Arabidopsis thaliana: one gene and its partner. The protein of the gene in region 2 interacts with the protein of the main gene of each other region in a pairwise test. Each region holds a gene or a part of one and is shown on either strand. Other genes may lie near its edges. The genes, in order: AT4G14720 and AT4G32295.

The links.
Region 1: the proteins of AT4G32295 (region 2) and AT4G14720 interact in a two-hybrid assay, tested with the Arabidopsis thaliana proteins (2 studies listed by BioGRID).

The regions. Positions count from the first base shown.
Region 1 is NC_003075.7:8,431,172-8,436,759, forward strand, and holds AT4G14720 (TIFY domain/Divergent CCT motif family protein), read right to left. Parts: upstream 3,935-5,588; 5' UTR 3,764-3,934; coding exon 3,646-3,763; intron 3,464-3,645; coding exon 3,324-3,463; intron 3,189-3,323; coding exon 3,010-3,188; intron 2,525-3,009; coding exon 2,434-2,524; intron 2,346-2,433; coding exon 2,249-2,345; intron 1,940-2,248; coding exon 1,880-1,939; intron 1,684-1,879; coding exon 1,620-1,683; intron 1,547-1,619; coding exon 1,312-1,546; 3' UTR 1,289-1,311; coding exon of another isoform or gene 1,281-1,288; 3' UTR 802-1,280; downstream 1-801. Other genes in the region: ARD1 (acireductone dioxygenase 1), read right to left, coding at 75-169, 250-361, 679-696. UniProt on the Arabidopsis thaliana protein: Regulates the arrest of dispersed meristematic cells during lamina development.
Region 2 is NC_003075.7:15,591,245-15,595,289, reverse strand, and holds AT4G32295 (histone acetyltransferase), read right to left. Parts: upstream 2,403-4,045; 5' UTR 2,331-2,402; coding exon 2,230-2,330; exon of another isoform or gene 2,123-2,229; coding exon 2,008-2,122; exon of another isoform or gene 1,790-2,007; coding exon 1,675-1,789; intron 1,596-1,674; coding exon 1,210-1,595; 3' UTR 735-1,209; downstream 1-734.

The DNA of each region.
Region 1 (5,588 bases), 7.2 Mb from region 2:
AAATAAGACTTGGACAAAAATAAACATCTACCATTCAAGTCTAGTGGGATAGTAAATAAATAAAGACCACAAACCATGTAAGAGTAACCACGAGATTCACGGATCTTTTTCAAATCCTCATCGGTTTCATAGTTATCAGCATCAAGTCTCCAGCTAAGTACTCCCAGCTCTGCACACAAACATTACATGTGAAACAAAATAGAGAAGCAGAGAGAACAACATTGAATTGAAACACACAAAGAGGGGGACCTGCAAGTTTGTCCAACGATACAAACTCTTTAGGATCCTTGTGGTGAGGAAGTCTCTGATCCTCTTCACTATCATCCATATACCAAGCTTGAATCACTTCTTCTCTCCCATCCTAAGCAAAAGCACATCAAGATGGGATTAGATTCCTTGGGAGGCAATGTTCAGATATTTTATATTTAATCTGATTTTAGCTTCAAAACTTCAGACAATTCGAGAAATCGTCAATTGCATAACTAAATTGAATACGAATAGGCATTAAACTGACTGCGAGATTTGAGCAAAAGAAGTAGTTATGATGATTCGAAAATCGTCGAAAATGAATCAAATCACTCAGATAACAATCGACGATTCATGCTTGCATCGCAAAACTAGGAATTATCGATTGGCATTAACAGATCAGAAGCAGAGGAGACAAAGATAAAAACATACCTTGACCGCTTCACCCATCGTGTTCCTCGTGATGTCTTAGTCCTTCTTCGTCTTCAAAACCACCCGATTACTCGATTCTTCTTTTTAAAACAGGGAAAAGATCAAATAAATAAAAATCTTTGGTTAAAAAGACTAAACTACCCTTATTTCTCAACTTTATAGAAGAATGTTGCAAATCTCAGACATATCACATACATCATGCCATGAAAATAGACAAATTAATTATCTCATACATATCAATCACAAAGAAGTTGTGTTACTTGGACCTCAAAGATTGGTATCATCAATAAGGTCTCTCTCATTATAAGACAAGCATTTACATAATACAAACCGCCACATCCTCTCTCTCTCTCTCGCGTCTCTCTAACCTACTCAAAACTACAGACCAAAAAAGATGGACGCAACCCGTAAAAAAAACAAAACCATACAAGACCCGCACTGATCCAGCTCAAATCTTTAACCCATGTTTCTTCCACAATGAACGAGAACATTCATTGTTTGCTTTCTTTCTTTTTGTACATGGCTAACATGTTATAAGAACATGAAATTGTTCTTCCCGCCTTTTGACCCGTAGTACCATCTCCAGTTCTTTTGGCACCTTGTTAATTATCTATAAAAAAGCGAATGAGAGTTTTAAGGGAGATCATTGGAACCATTTGACAAATGCTTGTTCATACCTTCGCTGTTTAGATCACTGTTTAGATCAACTGAGATATTGGGACTTTTTGTTTGATTTTCAGGTGACTCGCAATGCCCTGTGCCACTAAGGTTTTGTGAATATGCAGCGTTCATCCGTGGCTGACGATTCAGAAACATCTCCAAGCTAGAGGACGCAACTCCTGGAGCCTTCTTGGTCTTAGAAAATCTTCTGCTCAGAAAGAAAGGTATCAGTATTCATCGATTTGGAATAAGCAAGCACACAGCATAATAGCAACAACTACCTGTCTTTCCGCTTTTCAAGATATCTTTGCAACGATACTTTTCTGTTCGCCTGACCCTCAACATCTTCAGAAAAGACCAACAAAAAGAACAATAGTTAAATTAACAGAATTTCATGGTCGTATATCATGCAGAACAAGCAAGTAGTTTAGCGTAGCATGTAGAGGTGAAGAGGTGGACCAAATTTCGCTCTCAGGTGTTTTAAAGCATCATTGAATAATAGGATTTCATATCTTTAAGGTAAAATGAGTACTGTTTGTACCAGAATCACGAGAAGCAGGTGCCTTTTCAAGTCCATATTGGGGAAGCTCCACCATCTTCTCTGAAAAAATCAAATCACAATTTCAAAAAAAGGGGCACGAGGCATCTGTAGACACATAAGCTAGTAGAGGTAGCAGCAATTACAGCATTTAGACATGCTTCTTTGGTAATTTAACAATGCCTCCTTTCAAAATTGGACAAAATGAAAGGCCGTGTTTGACATAAGAAAGAAAGAAAGACTCATCTTGAGATGCAGCAGCTCTAGTCATTTTTTCAAGTTAGATTATACATTAAAAAAAAAACTCATTTCAAGTCTGAATCATCAATCTTTCAACTGAAAAGCAGATCAGACACTTTAGCAAATGCTTACCTTTACTCATGGGTTTCGAAATCATTCTACTAGAAGCAAAAATACCATTTTCAGGCAAATCAATTGGATTGGCTGCAAAATGCATGATAGACCGGGCCTGCAAATCAATACACAAGATGAATGATCAAAACCATACCATCAAAATTTATATTTTCAGGCTGGACAGAATTATGTGATTCATTTACCTTTTCAGGTGGTACTCCATCATATACATTCACTTTGCCACTATAAAATATCGTCATTTGCCCAACCACCGCATTTGTTTCAGCTGGGCTTCTGATGCAACATTACAAAAAAGCGTGTTTAAACAACTTAATTAAATAACATTGGAGTAGTAATTTGTTTATAAAACAACATGCACCTAATATCAATAAGACTTTGTACATGAACTACCCCTAAAACTCTTGTTAGTAATTGCAGAATTCACAAATCATATAGACTAATGGACTAAGTAACTGATTTATCGTTCACTAGCAATAATCACATCACATCATACCAATCCTCAAAACAGAAGAGTAAAGAGTAACACAGAACCAAGAAGATCTATCTGACTCTTTTAACCTAAATTCTGTGTGACCAATCCACCATCAAAACCATGATTCATATAGAAACTTTTCAATGTCTAAGACACTGATATCAAACCAAGTACTTATTCTAAGATCACAAACAGAATGTCACAATGCATCAGTTCTCTTCTTGAGGCATGAAAGCAGAAGAAAGATACCACACAAAGTCAAAACGCTATAGAAGAAAATGTAAACCTGGGGGAAACAGAAACAGTCTTGTGGCTATCTTTATCCGCAACAAACTGACCAGAACTACCAGAAAACTCAGCTGATCTTGGAGAATCCCTTCTATGGCACGCACCATCATCTTCCTGTAAAGGAATCCTTCCACAAGCTTCGAGCTCGTTCCTTGGCTCAATCAACGTTGTTGTAACCTGTGAACAAAACAGCAGTACACACAGAACAACAATTTTCCCTAAATCAGCACCAACCAAGTAAACGATTCTCTACTACTTCAGAACTTAGATTTTTCTCTGTAAATCGAAACAAAATCGAAGAACAACACTCACGCGAGGCGGATTTGGCGGCTGAGAAACAAGGATCTTGCGGAGGATTCCGGCGCCGGAATCATCTCCAGGTTCATAGAGAGCTTTAAGAGATAAAACTTGCTGGATCGCCTGAGATTTATTCCACGAAGGCCTGCGCATTCCTGTTTCGACACGTGTCAGCCGCCATTCTCCAGAGAGCGAAAAAAAAAGCTCGGAGAGAAGAAGAATAGAGAATTTCAAAAAATTGACTATGTACGATTCTTCTCAGCAAAATCCGTGAGGAAGATCCTACCGTCGAAGACAATAAGACCGGAAAAAAATGGAGAAAGGAAGAAGAAGAAACCTTTCTCTTTGAGGAATTTGCGGCAATCTTCGCGAGTAAGCTGAGAAATGTCTTCTTCAGTGAGAAGCTTCAGAGGCTTCTCAAGTATAGACTTCGCCGTAGTAACTCCTACATCCATATCCCTTGTCAGATTCCGGCCAAAACGGCCTCACCGGAGTCCCGACGAGAGAGCAGTGGCGTTTTCGTAATAATTGGAGGGTTTTGAGGGCAAAATTAGAAGAGCGAGAGAGAGAGAGAGAGAGAAAGAAAGAGAAAGAGTGAAGTCGCTAATAGTCTATGGGCTTCAATTTTAGGGGAATGGTTTTTGGAGCAGCGAAGCTCCCTAGACTGCCACGTAAGCATCCTATTAGTCTCTCTAGATTATAGCCTAATCATGCATTGCTTAAGTATCCCAATTATTTTTTATTTTTTGGGTAAATCTTATGCTGATTATTTTTTTCGCGTCAAACAGTGAAATAAAATAGTAAATGGTAACAGTTTTATATTAAATTTAAATATAATAATAGCATGAGTGATAAAGAAAAATGACACGAAAGAAAACAGAGATTATTTTGTAATCAGAGAGTATCTTGTTTGTTTATTACTGAGTGGATGTCAATTTATCTAAAATCGCATACGATCAATTTGCATGTGATATTTTGATTAAACAACTAATTATTTCTATAAATGGATAAGAGTTATTCCAAAAATAGAACAAAATATCTTTTGTGTTTTGTTTGTATACTACTTTAGTCTAGATGGACAATCATCAATTCTTGGTTAGTGTTTTTTTCCTGGTTTTACAATTCTTGGTTAGTATCTCTAAAAAATGGAAGATCATGTCACTTATACGATTATTACTTGTTAGTTAGCAGAACCTCCAGCATTGCAACACTTCAACATGTCACGCAATTTTTGCAAAAAGATAATCATTCCAAACATTTTTGCAAACAGACAATTTTCAGTTTAAAACAACCAATCAAACCCTAAATGTAATCATGTTAAATGAGTTTTTTTTTTCTTAAAAAAACATCTCATAAACATGTTAACAAAAAATTTGTTAAGCTAATTTACTAGTTGATACTTTTAAAATGGATTTAGCATTTGTTTGGCAACAACATGTGTGCTATGAATTGGATAGCAAATTAGCAATACAACAAAAACACTAGCACAAACCATTTACTTTTTTGTTAAAGGATCTAGCACAAACCATTATACTAAAAAATCTCTTCGATATCCATATTCAGTAGATCATTTAGATGCATGTAAATGAAAATGGCTCAACACATAAAAACGAAGACTAGTCATTTTCTGAAGTGAATACCAAAACAATTGAAAAATACAAGAGATAGAGTAATAAATTGACAAGACGAAGGAGGAGAAATATATTTTCACATGAGTCTGACCAATATCGATTCTCCCTTAAACCTTGCTTGGTCTTGCGTGACATCCCTTCTCATTATCCAATATATAAAGTGATAATTGATAACAATGCATGATACATGTAATTATACTCGTGATGTACGATAAGGATTCATCACTCAATTCATCCAATGTCGTAATTGTCAAGATATACATGCATGAATAAACGAACAGTTGAAAACTTCTTTTTAAAATATAGTTTCGTCATCCATACATACGGTGATGTCCCGAAAAATGATTAGATAAGCAAACCATATTAATGCAACTTTTTCTTTTTAGATTACTATGAAATTTGGAATACTGATCCATAATTTTTTTGAACAAGAGAATGGAACGTGTAAACATTTTATTTTTTTTAACATCGAAAGTCGAACTTTGTGACTTTGAAGTTAATTCACTCTCGTTTGAAGGTTTTTATAACTTACCAACAATTGATATTGAAATATATAATATTAATCAATGGTCTTCAAAAATCAAAACTATCTACCTTATACTGTATATGCATATACCATTTTTTTTTTCTTTATTGTTATTGTTAACCA
Region 2 (4,045 bases):
AATCCATGAGAACGGTCCTTTCGTGTCAAACCAATACGTAGAGAGTCAATTGGTTAGTGATTTAATAATTGGAACTACTTGGATCATCTTTTAGGTAAAGACATAAATTATAATATTTTGTTTCTTGTACATATATGTATAATAATGGACCAGGTTGGGTAATGAGAAAGAAAAGCTTTACTCATAATCCAATGAGAAATTACTTTTGTGAAAAAATTATTAAACTACAAAAAAAGTTGGCCCTTTTTAAAATCTTACTTTGCCAATTTTCAACAATGGACTGCTTGGAAAAATGCTGGTAAGTGTGTTTCGTTCCCACAGGTTGATAAGATTCGTATTAGGTGAAAACTGAGAATTGACGAGGTCTTCCAGGTTGTCAAGGAATTAGTTTAATTATGCTTTTGAAATTGAAATAGGTCCAATGGTTTATAACACACAATAAAATATCTTCTCTTCCTTTTTAACTACTAATATCTGCAAGAGCATTTGTATATCTACACAAAAGATTTGGTTGTTAAGATAGTTTTTGCATCTAAGATTTGTCCTCTTTGATTCAAATTCGAGTCTAATGTCGAACAGCTGGATCGTATGAAATCATATAATAATCAAGAATTATATAGTTAATTAATGTACTTAGAATCTCATGTTGATTATGATGATTAACGTCCAAGTTCACTCGGTTTTTCTGTAGAACAGACGATTTCAAAAATCTTCCACAAAGTTGTTACAAGTGTGTCTTATCTTCATAAAAATGCAAACGAAACTTTAAGTTCGATCCGTTTTACCGAATGTTCTTCAGCCTACTTGCAACTAAATGGGCCTAAATTGAGTTGGCTCAAAAAAGCCCATTTCATAAGGAGCCTGCTAGAGTCATCATCGGTCGCCGAAGAATCAGATGGAGTCTAACTAAAGTCTTTCGATGGAAAATCCAATGTAGGGCATTTAATATGCTTGTTGTGAAAACAGAGATGTGGAATGGATATTTCTCGAACAGTGTTGCAATGTAAAAATACATTCGTGAAGTCTGATGATTCGAGATTGATGCAGGTAGAAGAAAACGACTTCATCTCCTGTTTTGTTACTTCGTCTCTCTATTTACATGTTCACAAACCTAAACCTAGGGTCTAGAGAGGAGACTAAAAGGCCTAACTAAGCACACATTCTTCTAACACAAGACTTGCTAATCAAAACCCAATCTTGCTCTCCTTTTCAGTTGTTATTGTTGCTGCTTATCTTACTTCGTTTTTGAGTAGGAGGTCCAAGAGGACCTAAGCGCAGAGATAGATCACATTCACACCCACCAAAGGTAATGCCATTTGTTGCGTCAATGAGACTCGCCGGTCTACTGTTCTTGGACTTACACGAGTCACTGATTGGCCGGAATGAATAGCATAAAGGGTAGGCAGAGTACTTGGAGACAGGGCAATTCTCTTGTGCTACTGCAAGATTCTTTGGAGCAAAGTTGTTTGGTTTCATGAATACTTGGGACAACATGTTGTCCAAGTTAGTTGAGTCTTGGCTAAGATAACATCTCGGGTTAATGTTCCGTTGGCTCCTTGAAGCTCTCCTTGGTGTGCACCCCAAATGCAATGCAGCTACATAATAAACAAGACTTGCTCATTGATCTGAGCCAATAATCCCCGAAAGCTCGAATATACAGATTGTATTGTATACCTTCAATACAAGGCTGAAGAAATTCCCCTGTTTCGGTGGTCTCATCAAGTCGTATGATTGTGTTGATGGCGTCGTTTGTACGGTCTAAAAGGGTCTTCATGTCCATATACTCAGCCTAACATCAAACCCACAAGAAGTATATAAAATATTCATATTCCAAATGAACACATTAGCTACAAATCCACTCTATCAACTCCATAAAATCCAAGGTTTAGTACAGATTACCAGAGACTATCAGTCACACTGTTCAAAGAGGGCAATAAAAAGCAAAAAATGAAAATCGAAATACTATTTAGAAACAATCCTTTGTAATTAAAATGTTGGAAGAAAAACCTCAGAATTGGCTTTGGAATACATGATTTCTTCAGCTCTCAAGACAACAACAGGGAGCTTCTCTTGCCATTCTGTGTTTTTCCTGGTGGATTGGCTGTGAATCTCACAAACAATCCTACAAATAGTTCAAAGAACAATTGAGCTAAAGAAAGACATGCACACACACAAACCTATAGATACACAGATAGATATCCAAAGTGAGAGAGAGATGATGATGATGACCTGAAAATCTCTTGGATGAGCAAACCCCTCATGGGTTGGTGTCTGTCACTATGCCAAGCTCTTCTGATACAGTCGTACGGTCTTGGCCCTGGCCTCGGCATCTTCCACCACTTCCTTTTCTATGAGAGAGAGAGAGAGAGAGAAAAAAAGACAAAGTGAGATTGTTGTTCTTCACTAGTTTTCACTTCTCAATAATTTATTTGAGTGTGGTGGGGGAGAGAGGTAGTCCTGTCCAACTGGTCCGGTCCGGTCCGGTCCGGTTTAGTCTGCCTAAACTTATCATGGTCCGGCCTACTCTATGTAGAGTTGCAGTCCAATAATTTACTAAAATATAACTAAAAACTCTACCATTCACCAAATTATTTAGGAGTTTTAGGCAACTGTTGGAGTGATTTTGAACTGTCAAATTTAAATAAGACACGTGGATAACTTGCGTCAAATCACCCAGTCCAGTGAGGTCTCAATTGATTGCATGTCTTGTGAGGAAAAAAGAAGAACGACTTAAAAAGCATAATAAGTATGATTTTTCTCTACAAATCACAAAAGAAGATCGTATGATTGAAAGTAATAATAAAGGAAACAAAATGAAATCTTGTGAATTGCTTTCGTACCGCGTCTAATCTTTTGCCATAATTTTTCGCTGACACTGAAACATTCAAGATGACGTCAATCTCTTTATTATTAAAAGGGAAATACAAATTAAAATTTTGTTTAATTTCGCCTTAATTTTGATTTTAATTTTGGATTTTGTTCTTTGCTATTCAAAATCATTATGGTAATTTGGTCTTAACAATCTACTTAACTTTATATGATCCGATTCAATCTAAACCGTTCAATAAAATTAATTCCGTTCAACAAAAATAAGTAAAATAATTTTATTTTTTTTATCTTCACTTTAAAGACATATAATTATAAATAACATAATTCATATAGTCTTTACTTTTACTAAAATTACATACACATAACTAATTAATACATATTTTAATACATTCCTTTTATTACTAAATAACAAAAAAAAAAAAAATCCCAATTATTATTTAGTTATATTTAATTAAAAAGTTTTATATTTATAAGTTTAAAATATCAAATTCATTCAAAAATTTAGTATAAGAATCAAATAAACCGATTGTCCGCGAACTCCTAGTAAATAAATAAAAAATCAGTGAATTGACAAACTAAAATAAAATCTCGTTGCTGACAAATAAAGTAAAGGTCTAAAACATTACCGAAGACCCATCGTCCTAAAACTTTTCAAGTCTGAACTCAAAAACTCAAAATGAAAACCACCTTAAGGTTTCTCGTCGTTAGTGAAAGGCCCAAAAACTCAGATTTTTAAAGGCCCAAATCTATTGCATGTCGACCACGTGGACCACCGTACAGAGAAACTCGTATCCAACAAAGCTGTTGCCTTCGAGACGGAAACGTTTCCTAAAACGGATCGATTACGAAAATTCACGCAGCCACGTGATGTCATTAGAAAGCTTACCATCCAACGGTTTCCATCAATCCACTTGTAAGACTAAGAACCCTCCACGTAAATCGAATATTTTTATGACTCCTTCCTTTAATGTTAGCTTTGAACACACTAATCAAACGAATAAATTCTTTATACATACACAATCACATTATGTGTGGCCTATGATTTAGTCAGATTTATGACAAACTGATAAAGTACAAGAAATGATAACCAAATAGAATTCAATTCATATATACTCTTTTCGGATAAACAGTACAGTGATCAAAATTATTAGAATTAGTGGCCAAATAAAACTAAGAACGTTATGTATATTAAATGACAACTCGAGAGAAGACGAAT